Linked DNA regions of Cricetulus griseus. The protein of the gene in region 3 interacts with the protein of the main gene of each other region in a biochemical or structural test. Links are inferred from orthologs where the notes say so. Each region holds a gene or a part of one and is shown on either strand. Other genes may lie near its edges.

Region 1 (3,428 bases), on a different chromosome or scaffold from region 3:
CTCGAAACCAGATTTGTCTGTTTCCGTATCCATCTTTTCCCCTTTGCTTTAAGAACCGGAGACACCAGTACTCCGGAATCAATATGCAATTTCTTTAGAAAGCAAAAGAAAACATTTCCTGGCTAATTATCACCGCTCCCACCAGCACCCCAAACTGGAGCTGACTACTTAGGTTCCTAGATGTGGAACCGGAAGCCAGGTGGTAGACTTCATTCCCCCTTTACCCTCCCCACCTAGTTTCCACTCCGGTCCTTGCAGAAAATGTCAAAACCCATCTGGAAAACAAAACAAAACAAAAAACAAAAGCTAAAGGTGTATCACGAGAACACACAAAAGGCCGAACCCCAGAGAGAAAGGAACCCAAGACAAATCAGAAAGCCACACTCTCCCAACTCCTCCCAAACTTCCCTTTTTGCGCTGCGGACGGTCCGGGGCTTTGCTGTACGTCTGGGATGATTCAGATTCATCTGTGAGTTCACCTGCTTTCGGTCTTGAGTAAACAGAGGTCTCCTCCCTCCTCTGCGGAGCGGCTCAGGGGCGCCCGGCAAGCTCTCTTCCTCTAGGGACGCGGAGCCTGTGTCCAGGCCGGGACCGTGGGGCCGGCGTCCGTGCGCCCGCCGGGAGAGCCTGGCTCTCTACACCTTGGATTCCGAGGAGAAGTCCCGGCGCCCCGGCTCGTCCAGGCTCGAATCGCTGTCCACAGTCGTCACCCCGCCGTTGCAGCCAGCCCAGGGCTCCAGCAGGCGCGCGGGTGCCGTGATCCCCGCATCGTCTTCGTCGTCGTCCGAGGGAGCTCCAGGGGACGGCGGCGGCCCAGCTCCCGCCAGGCAGCCCGAGGCGCGCGGCCGGTCCCCGTGGGATGCGCGGCGTCTGCGGACGGCCCGGCGCGCGCAGCAGAGCAGGCGCTGGAAGGCCTTGCGGAAGTCGGGGCTGCGGCAGTAGATGATGGGGTTGAAGGCCGAGTTGGCGTAGCCCAGCCAGTTAAAGAAGACGAAGAGGCGATCGGGCACCAGGTCGCGGTGGAAGGCCTTCACCACGTTGGCCAGGAAGAAGGGCAGCCAGCAGAGCGTGAACACACCCATGATGATGCCCAGCGTCTTGAGCGCCTTCTGCTCGCGCAGGGCCACGAGGCGCGACGGCCGCCGCTTGCTGGAGCGCCCGTTGGCCAGCGAGTCTGCGGGGCGCGGCGGCCCTGGCGACGGCGAGGGCGCGGGTGAGGGCGGCCGAGCGGGGCCGCCGAGGAAGCGGCGCTCGCAACTGTCGATCTTCTTCACCTGCTTCTGGGCCTCGCGGAACACCCGCAGGTACACGAAGGCCATGATGCACAGGGGCACGTAGAAGGAGACGACGGACGAGGCGATGGCGTAGGCCCGGTTGGTGACGAAATCGCAGCACTTGGGGTCGTTGTAGCAGCGGCGTGCCTCGTCGCTCTCGGCCCGCCACCAGTGCATGAGGATGGGCAGGAAGGACACCAGAGCCGAGATGGCCCACACCGTGCACACGAGGGCCCGCGCTCGCGCGCGCGTCAGCAGGCTCTGGTAGCGGAAGGGCGACGTGATGGCGAGGTAGCGGTCCAGGGCGATGACACACAGGGTCTCGATGCTGGCCGTCACACACAGCACGTCCACCGAAGTCCAGAGCTCGCAGAAGAAGGAGCCGTACTCCCAGCGGCCCCACACCACGATGGTGGCCCCGAAAGGCACCACCAGCAGCCCCATGACCAGGTCGGCGCTGGCCAGGGACATGATGAAGAGGTTGGTGAGCGTCTGCAGCCGCGGGGTCTTGGCGATGGCCACGATCACCAGCACGTTGCCCGCCACGATGAGCAGCACGATGAGCGCCAGCAGGAGGCCCATGCCCGCAGTCCACGGCTGCGACAGCGGCGCTGAGCCCTCGCTGGTGGGAGGCAGCAGCGAGGCGGGCGGCGACGCGAGCACCAGCAGGCGCGCCGCGGTGGCCGCGCCGTCGGGCAGCGGCGCGGCCGACGACAGGTTGCAGGGTTCGGAGGCGCCCAGGGCGAGCGCCCCCGCGCCCATGCCGAGCTGCGGAGGCCGGGGGCGGGGGGTGTGGCGGGGCTGGGCCGCGGCTGGGGAACACCCCAGGAGCCGGGGCTGCGGGGCCCGCGCGGGAGGTCGCGGCCAGGTCAGGGCAGCCGCGGCTCGGGGCCGGAGGCATGGACTCCGAGCGCCTTCTCCGCCGGAGCCGAGCGCTGTCGCCGCCGCCGCCGCCGCCGCTGCTGCTGGAGCCGCTGCCGCTGCTGGAAGAGCCGCCGGGACCTCAGCATGTTTCTGAGCGCGCGGGGCCGACAGCTCCGGCCCCACACCCCACCCCGCTGCCACCCCCCTAGCCAGCCCCGGGGCCGCGCGTCAAGCTCCCGCAGCCAATCGCCGCCAAGGCACGCCCCCGACAACGGTGCCCCCACCCCCCAACACCCGGCACCCCCTCCTACCCGCGATTGAGCCGCTCCAAAGATTCCGGGCGGACTGCGGAGCCAGCATCTCCCCGGCACCCACCGGCTGCAGCGAGCGCGCCCTTTCCGGCTCCGGCAGGCTTCTACCGGAGTCGGGTCTGCTGCGTCCCCGCCCCCTCCAGGGGGTCCCCGCTCGCCCCAGCACCAGCTCTCTTTTTCCCTCGGCGCGGCGCGGCTCCCGCCCTAGCTCTCCTCCTTCCCACCGGCGCCCCGCAGCTCCCGCGCCGCTCTGCCTCCTCTGCCGAGTTCCCTGCAGCGAGGAGGGAATCTTGTTGGCGTTCTCAAGACGCCCAGTGCCTTGAACAGCCTGTCTGCTGGGGTTGGAGGAGTTTAGCTGTGAGACTGGTTCTGCCATCAGGCAGCCTGGCCCTTCCCTGCTCGAGAGGGGACCCGGCCAGCCTGACAGCTTGGGGGGAATGGGAAGTGGGTGTTCGTGGTTAGAGGAAAGTTTCCAGCCAGGCCGGTTGCTGGAGCAGAGCGCGCATCTGTCAGAAAGGCTCTCTGGCTGTTCTCGCTCAGAGCTGTGCTGTCACTCAAGCCCAGTCAATGGAGAAAGGAAGTGAAGGTTTCTGGGTGTTAACAGTCAACGCCAGGGACCAGTTGGACACACACACACACACACACACACACACACACACACACACACACACACACACGCACGCACGCGCGCGCACACGCGCACACGCGCACACGCGCACACGCGCACACGCGCACACGCGCACACGCGCACACGCGCACACGCACACACGCACACATACACACACACACCTCCCAACCCCAGCCAAGGAGAATGACGCCACGGTGTGTGCCGAGTATGAAGGAGAAGTTTGCAACATGCAGTCTAGAGTAGATGACACCACCGCCGCCACCCCGCGTAGAAAGGACACACCGAATGACGCTTCAGAGTTTTTGGCTCTGATTTTAACACCTTGACACCTGCATTTGTGCTCTGTCGCGC
Region 2 (3,746 bases), on a different chromosome or scaffold from region 3:
TCATCCAGCCAGTTCAGGACGAAGTGGGTTGACCTAGAAGTCCTCATTTCAGACAAGGGCTTCCGTCAAAAGATTCCTCCATGGCCTTGCTGTCTCCCTATGGTTCTTATTCTTCACCTATTCCCTTTCCTTTCTTTCCTCTTTCGTGTTGGTCATGAACCCAGGACCTCTATACTCTAACGCCGAGCAAAGTCCACCTCCCCAACCTCAGCCCTTGCTTGTTTCTTTATAACCCACATAACCCTCCTGACTCAAGGAGTCTAGTCATTCCACGTGACCTTGGCACCATCTCCACTTCTCTGCGGACACTGGCCTTCCTATCTGTGATAGGGGAGTGCCGGACTCAAGAGTTTTTCGTTCTTTTCCAGTCGACTCTACGTTCTCTGGCTAAATGCTCTGTAATTCAGAGCCAGCCTTTGACTGGAAATTTTAGGTTCTTTCCACCTGTCCCCCTCCAATGGCATAGGCCTGGCACCTGCGGCCAGTTGTAAAAGGACTTATTCATGCTCAATTTCCCCAGTGCACTAGGAGGGAGGGTACCTAAGGGACCGAGAGGAGGCAGCATGAGGAATTCTGCTCGCTACTACCTCCTCTTTGCAAATAATCCCACTTAGAGCATTGAACCTCTACTCCTGAGAAATTCCCATACAAACAGTGCAGTCGCAGACTGGAGGCGGGGGCGTCCTGTGCGCGTGCGTCGGCGCAGAACCCTCTCCCGCCCACGTGCGCGCTCCCGGGAGGAGGCGCGCGCCCCGGCGGGCTGGCGGGAAGGCGCGCGGGAAGCCCCCAGCTGCCTTCTCGGTGTGGGGGGAGGGAGAGTGGGAAGCGTCTGGAACGTTCCACTCTAAGAGAGAGCCGGGGGAATCTTTCGAGCCCCGCTCCCGTTTCCGTCCTTCTCCTCCGCCGATCAATCCATGAAGTTTCCCCCCACTTCTCACACCGAGATCCGGAGCCCCGTGGCGCGGCCTCGCTCCCCCTGAAGCAGGCGGTGGCCAGAAGCGCTTCCCTCTGCCGCCGGAGCGGGGCGCTGTGGCGCGGGCCGGGGCCGGAAATTCCCGCGGCCTGAGTGGTTGGCGGAGCCCTAGCGGGGAGAGCAGCCCCGCCTTCCTCCTTCCCGGCCGGGCGGGGGCGTCGGGCAGCGCGAGGGCCTGGTTGCCCGAGTGGGTGGGGGGCCGCCGCGTCAGCCAGCTGCAGCCGAGCCGCGGCAGGCGGCAAGCGCGGCGACGGCGGCCGCTCCTCCTCAGCAGCCCCGCGAGCCGCGAGCCCCCCAGCGCCCCCGCTCGCGCCCCCGCCCCCTGGCCGTCCCCGCCTCCTTCCCTCACACACCCCCCGGGCCGCCCGGGCCCCAGGCCTTCCCGGCGCTCCTCCTCCCTCTCTCCACACTCTGCTGCGACCCGGGTGCTGCTGCGGTCCTCCTGCCTCGCTGTCTCCGGGGCGAGTTCTCCTCCTCCTCAGGCTCTCCTTTCACACACACACGCGCGCGCCCTGGCTCTCTGGGCCGCCCCCTTTTCTCCAGCCCTCCTCACCCTCACAGTCCTTTAAACGCCGCCGTCGGGGGTGGGCGGAGGATTAATGTCCCTTCAGCATCATGCAGCCGCCGCCGAGGAAGGTAAGGGCGCCGCTGGCGGGGGGCTTTGGAGATCTGGGGGGTGGCGGTGCGTACAAAGAACGCGGCTGGGGCGACCGCTGCGCCCCCTCCCCCTTCCCGCAAGGGGCCGTGACCGCTCTCGCCTCTTGGCTTGTCACTGAGTTGCCGCCTGCTCCAGGCAGGGGGTCGAGTGTGTGAGGTGTCTTTCCGACGGAGGGCGGCCAGTGCTTGTCCACTGCACTAGGGATTACCGCCCCTCCGCCCCGGACATTCGCTAGAGTTTTTTCGGGCATGCATATGTGTGTCTGTCTGCATGGCAGTGTTGCCCAGTGCAAAGTGCTTTCTCGGGGCTGCACAGAGGGGAGGCGGGGGGAGCCCCTGCAGATTTGCAGAGCCCTGTGCGTGTGGGATTGTTTAGTCTGAGCCAGGTTCGAGTCCTCCAGTTGCTTGTCGACACCCCACCCATTGGCACATTTGCGGAGACACGGGGGGGGGGGGGCGTTGTTTTAAGTCTAGCCCCAAAATTTGGCCTGTTTTTCCCACGGGGCTGCGGAAAAGAAGTTGGTACGGTCATCTCCCTCCCACCCCAAGGGAAAGCAAATTAAGGATTGACGGGTCCTGCTCTCCCCCCCCCCCCCGGACGCCCAGCCCCGCCTCCGGCTAAGGGGCCAGGGAAACTGGCTTCCAGTATGAAAGCCAGAACCTGGCGATGCGTGGCTTGAGCACTAGGGCCGGGGTTTGCATGGCCTGGGTGGCAGTGACGGGCCGTACTCCGATGCTTGCCAGCAGCTTACCCTGCTGCGCCGCCCTTCTCCACCTTTCCTGGCGGCTAAGGCTGTGTCCTTGTCTTTGTAAATCTTTCAGATGGATACTAGATATCTACTCTGAGCAGTGGGTAGAGACAGTTATATCTTCCCCTCGTGGGCAAACATTTGCCACATGAGTAACTCAACGTTTGTTTCCTTTCCTTTCCCTTTCTTAATCTGGATTTCTCCAGTTAACTCATTCCCCCACCCCCTTCCCCCTGCACGTGTACCCCACCTCTCCATGTCGCTTTGCCCTGGTGGCCAGAATTCCACCATACTCGAAAACCATTTGCAACCCCCGGGGTCCGGTCTGGCCGGGGAGTCTCCGGCCAGCTGGCTTCGGCGGTTTTCGTTGTTTGAAGTGGGGCTGCCACCTGGCCTGGCTTACTGGGTTAGTTTAAAAGCCCTGCATATTCTAGAAGGTCACTTTTACGTTCTCCTTTGTGAGAAAAAGATTGTGATTTGATGCGCTGTCAGAGTGGAGGGCATCATTCTGAGACGGTGTTCTTTCTAGCAGCCATTATGGAATATTTTATGTAATTTATTCATGCATATTATTTCATGATTGTGTAAATTTCAGTTGCTAGGTATTAGGTACTGTATGCTTTCTTTCATCTGTGCTCACTGCTCCTGGTGGTTAATGTCTGTCTGTGTCTTTGGGAAGAAAGAGAAGACAGAATTGACAGTTTACACTCTTTAAACTGTAATTTTTGAATTTTTAGTCAGCCCCTGTTTTAGAAATTCTGGCAAATTTTTTCATTAATCATAGTTAAGTAGTAAAACTAAGTGGCAAATAATGAATTTTTTAGTTTTTATGGAGAGGAAAACTAGAAGTATACAGTCTAACAAATACTGTTTTCTTTAAGGAATTTTTCTTGTTCAAATTGTAGTAAAAGTCTTCATAAGTACATGTTGTGTTTTAGGTGAAGGTTACACAAGAACTGAAAAACATTCAAGGTGAGCAGATGACAAAACTTCAAGCCAAACACCAGGCAGAATGTGATTTACTTGAAGATATGAGGTAAGATTACAGTAAAGAATTGGAGAACTGTCTCTGCCACTGAGGACTTTTGAGTTGCCAAGCCCCAGGATCTGATGATGGAATTTCCTTTTGGATTTCCTGCTTTCAGGCTGCAGAATTTTGACTCAGCTGGAAGTTAGAACTGGAACTAACACAGTGCAAACTTTTCCTCAGTGTACACATACTACTGAAAAACAGGGCTTTAAGAGTAAGTCTGTCAGTTTGTAATCACTCAACTGAAAATTCTTACATCTTTTCACCAAGTAGTAAGTTATTATTGGCTTTAGCAATTCTACACAGACTTGTAAGCTGACACTTATGGTTAATGGTT
Region 3 (3,646 bases):
GCCTGACTGGTGTTGAGGCACAATATCTAATTGGGCTTGTTTCTTTGTTTGTTTTGCTCTGTTTTGTTTGTTGTTTTGTTTTGTTTTTGTTGTTACTTTACTGCAGAGGTGTGAAATTCTGAGCTATTGGGGGGCTTTGCTCACTTTGTTTAGACTCTGTATACAACAGTTCTCTGTCCCTCTCAACTGGTCTTTACCCCAAGCCAGACCACCTGAGCCCACACTATCAAAAGAACAACAAACAAATGTTGATCTATTAGCCATATGTCTTTAAAAAAGGATGAAATAGATTCCCAGTGCCCATCATGAGGGAAACCTGTTACTATACCTTTCCTATGAGGAAAGCCAGGTGATACGTAGAGTTCCTCTGTCGTATCTTAATCATAGTTTGAGTAGACAGCAATGCTCTTTGCCTAGGTTAGTGTTCTGATGGCAAAATAGTGTATATTGTGATAATTATGTCCTATTTATTTGAGATTCTTGTTTAAAATTTAAAAAGCAAAAAAAAAAAAAAAAAAAAAAAAAAGGAAGCTATGCCCTAGATGTAGGGCTTTTTTTCCCAACCAAAGGTCTACAAAAGTTTCTATAGAAACTGTGATTGAAAGATCCCCATATACATTGGTCCCCTTTATTCGGGATTTATCTGTTATCACCCTCGTTTCTGAAGGTCTTTCTGCACAATTCCCCGATGCATTTTGGGCTCAGTGAGAAGCTCAATTTCAGACATAGTTCAAGGAGGAGAGTGGCTCCTTCGAAGGGCAGCCTTCCCAGGTGTTGAACATTGGAACGGGTGCACAATGGGAGGGGTCTGAGGTAAGGGGGAGGGTGGGTGTCCAATCAGAGGGAACCTTAATGACGACATCAGGTGCCATGGCTGCACACTGTGCTTAACTTCTCTGACCATTAGGTTTATTGATACCACTGAAACTGTGTAACATGTCTCCCTTTTCTGTCTTCCCTATGCTTCTGTTGGATGTGATCTCATTTGAGAGTCATCGTCAGTAACCTGTGTATCTTCTCCAAACCTATGTCTGTTGCACTGAGGATGAAAATCCAACACTAACAAATGTTCCTTGGGCTAAAAATAAAGATCATTGAAATACATGGTTTCCCACAAAGGGTTGAACATGCCAGGGTTGTGCTACTGTAATGTTTCCATGCGTCATTTGGACTAAATCTCTCTAATTCTATTGATTAGAGTTACAAATGGGTTATAATATGTTAAGTTCCAATATTTTTCTGACTTGACTGGAACCTGCTTCTCTGTGAGGCTATTTTTGTAATGAGTTTTTTGTACTTAATTTAACTGCCGCGGTATTGGGGTGGTGGGTGGGGACCTTGTTCTTTTGTTGTTTATTGTTAATGCTCTCCTATGCCAGCCTGTCATTGTTCCAGTTGTTTGAAAAAAAAAATCACAAAAACAAACAAAAAAAAAAAAAAAAACAAAAGGATGCATCATCATCTGGTTTTCAAGTCATCTAACAGCTATCTAAAATCATCACTGTTCCAATTACGGTCTCTGCAGCCTTGGGTGTTGCCTTAGACTGACTGGACAAATAAACTCTCTTTGCCCTATGTTAACAAATGAAGATTTTTTTTCTTTCTTTCTTGTTATAGGGAATCTAAATGTTCAACTTTTTCTCTTTCTCTCTTTCTCCTTCTCTCTGACTGTTCTTGGTGCTGGGCTCTCCCTTCTACAGCGATGATACCTCCTAATATCGCTGCATGTATGAGAAATGAAAAGCTCGGGGAGGCTTGCTTCTACCTTATGGGCCATAATCAAACTACGGTTTGTAGCTAAATCAATACTAGGTGTTTCTGTGCTGTGGCCTAATTTCCTCATTGCTTCTGCTTAGCTCTATTTTGATATGTTTGGCAATTCATTCTGAGCACCCTGCGTTCTTTGAATTGTAAGTACATGGCTAACCCTGTTGAAGTGTTGCTCTCCCTTGTCTCAAGAATAGAATAAGATCATAGGTTAGATTGACAGCTTCTCTCCCCCAAATGTGGAATGCCTTTGTCTTTGTCCCAGTAGCACACTTAGCATTTAGAGAGAATGGGGCTCATCATGGAGCTCTCCCCTGGTGGGTAAGGCTTTGCTGCACAGGAAGAGGACATTTCCTGGTTGAGGTATCTCTCAGCAGACTCCAGCCTGTGAACCAAATCCTGGTTAAAGCCAGTTTTGTAAATAAGGTCTTACTGGCATATAGCACACCCATTTTTAAAAAATGTTTTTGCACCACAGTGGTCAAGTTAAAGAGGGATTGCTGACCCAAAATAAGTGATAGCAGACCCCCTCTCCAGTAAGAAGAACCAAGACTGTGAGGACTCATGCTCTAGGCTCTAGCTCTCCCTCTGTTGAACTCATCCTGGGTTTGGAGAGATCTTTCATTAGACAGACCGTCTGGTTCCTGCTGTCCTGGCTGTCTCTGTGGAAGGTGTTGATAAAACCCAGTATCCCATGTTGCAGCTCAGCAGCTTGGGCACCTAAAACTTGATGGGTTTATCATTGCAACAGAACATCCCACTTTGCAAAGGCTCTCATAAATTCAAGATGCTGCCTTAAATGGCTGTAGTGTCAGTTCAGATAGTTTAATGATGAATGGGACTTGCCATGGGCTGTCCAGCCTTTAGATCTGTAGATGCCTGAGTGAGCTAAGGAGCAGTCCCATGGCCCCACAGCTCTTGCATATTGTTATGGTTGCTTCTCACACCATAAAGAAAGGTGCTTTTAAATGTAGAGATTTTGTAAATCCCAGCTCATCTCAAGCACCTAATAACCCATCCCTCTCACTTTTATCTGGCAGAAAGCTTTTTTTTAATACAGTTCCTTTTTTAAAAAATTTACTTGAAAGTAGAGAAAATAATTAAATGTAAAAGAAGTAGTTTAATGGACCTTCAAGCCTAGATAACCCCCTACTCTGAATCACTTTTTAAAAGTAGAAGTATGGTTTTTTTGTATGACATGCAGATCCTCAGCCAGTTGCCCTGCTTCTTGTTAGATCACCACTCAAATATGCCAGCGACTATTTCTAACCCCCAGAAAGCTTTCCTCATGCCCATCCAAGTCTGTGTCCTAGGTTAATTTTAAGCAGAACAAGTATTCACAAATAAAATGGTATTGGGGGGGAACGGGGAAGGGCTGATGGGTGGCCAAGAAAGAATAGGTGTGGGTCAGGGTACCATAGTTCAGATACCTCTAGATAGACCCTTCCATTATAATGGCCTGTCTTCAGGGTACGGGGAATAGTCAGCTAGATGTTGAAAGCCATACTGCTAGTTTTTAATCTTTACTAGTTGCAGTAATATTTAAATTAACCAAGATTCAGTTGGCTTGGAATCTGCTTTAACAGTTGTTTGTTTTTTGTGACTAATGAGTCAAGTGTGGGAGGGAACCAGGGCCAGGAGCCACAGGACCTTCATGTTAAACTGTTGTCCTATTTCTCTTCCTGGCAGACCCCAGCAGCGACCGGAACGGACCCTCCACCGGTGCACAAGGTGTTCCGGAAGTGAGGCCCGGGCCGCCTGACCGCAGACCGCATCCAGCCTTGGAGTCCAGTTACCCACCCGATCTTCACAAATCATCACAACATGGGGAAAAGCGGGCACACGTGAAGGATCCAAAAGGCAATAGGGAGCATAGCAA

What was found.
Region 1: the proteins of Magi1 (region 3) and beta-1 adrenergic receptor interact in a test that uses a peptide from one of them, tested with the Homo sapiens proteins (2 studies listed by IntAct). The link is inferred for Cricetulus griseus from reciprocal best matches to the Homo sapiens genes MAGI1 and ADRB1.
Region 2: the proteins of Magi1 (region 3) and Fchsd2 form a complex in vitro, tested with the Homo sapiens proteins (2 studies listed by BioGRID and IntAct, with this or other methods). The link is inferred for Cricetulus griseus from reciprocal best matches to the Homo sapiens genes MAGI1 and FCHSD2.

What each region holds. Positions count from the first base shown.
Region 1 is NC_048596.1:4,713,318-4,716,745, forward strand, and holds beta-1 adrenergic receptor, read right to left. Parts: upstream 2,037-3,428; coding exon 636-2,036; downstream 1-635. UniProt on the Homo sapiens protein: Beta-adrenergic receptors mediate the catecholamine-induced activation of adenylate cyclase through the action of G proteins. This receptor binds epinephrine and norepinephrine with approximately equal affinity.
Region 2 is NC_048596.1:98,440,799-98,444,544, reverse strand, and holds the start of Fchsd2 (F-BAR and double SH3 domains protein 2), read left to right. Parts: upstream 1-1,275; 5' UTR 1,276-1,588; coding exon 1,589-1,609; intron 1,610-3,317; coding exon 3,318-3,415; intron 3,416-3,746. UniProt on the Homo sapiens protein: Adapter protein that plays a role in endocytosis via clathrin-coated pits. Contributes to the internalization of cell surface receptors, such as integrin ITGB1 and transferrin receptor.
Region 3 is NC_048601.1:50,147,750-50,151,395, forward strand, and holds part of Magi1 (membrane-associated guanylate kinase, WW and PDZ domain-containing protein 1), read left to right. Parts: intron 1-1,700; coding exon of another isoform or gene 1,701-1,789; intron 1,790-3,456; coding exon 3,457-3,646. UniProt on the Homo sapiens protein: Plays a role in coupling actin fibers to cell junctions in endothelial cells, via its interaction with AMOTL2 and CDH5. May regulate acid-induced ASIC3 currents by modulating its expression at the cell surface.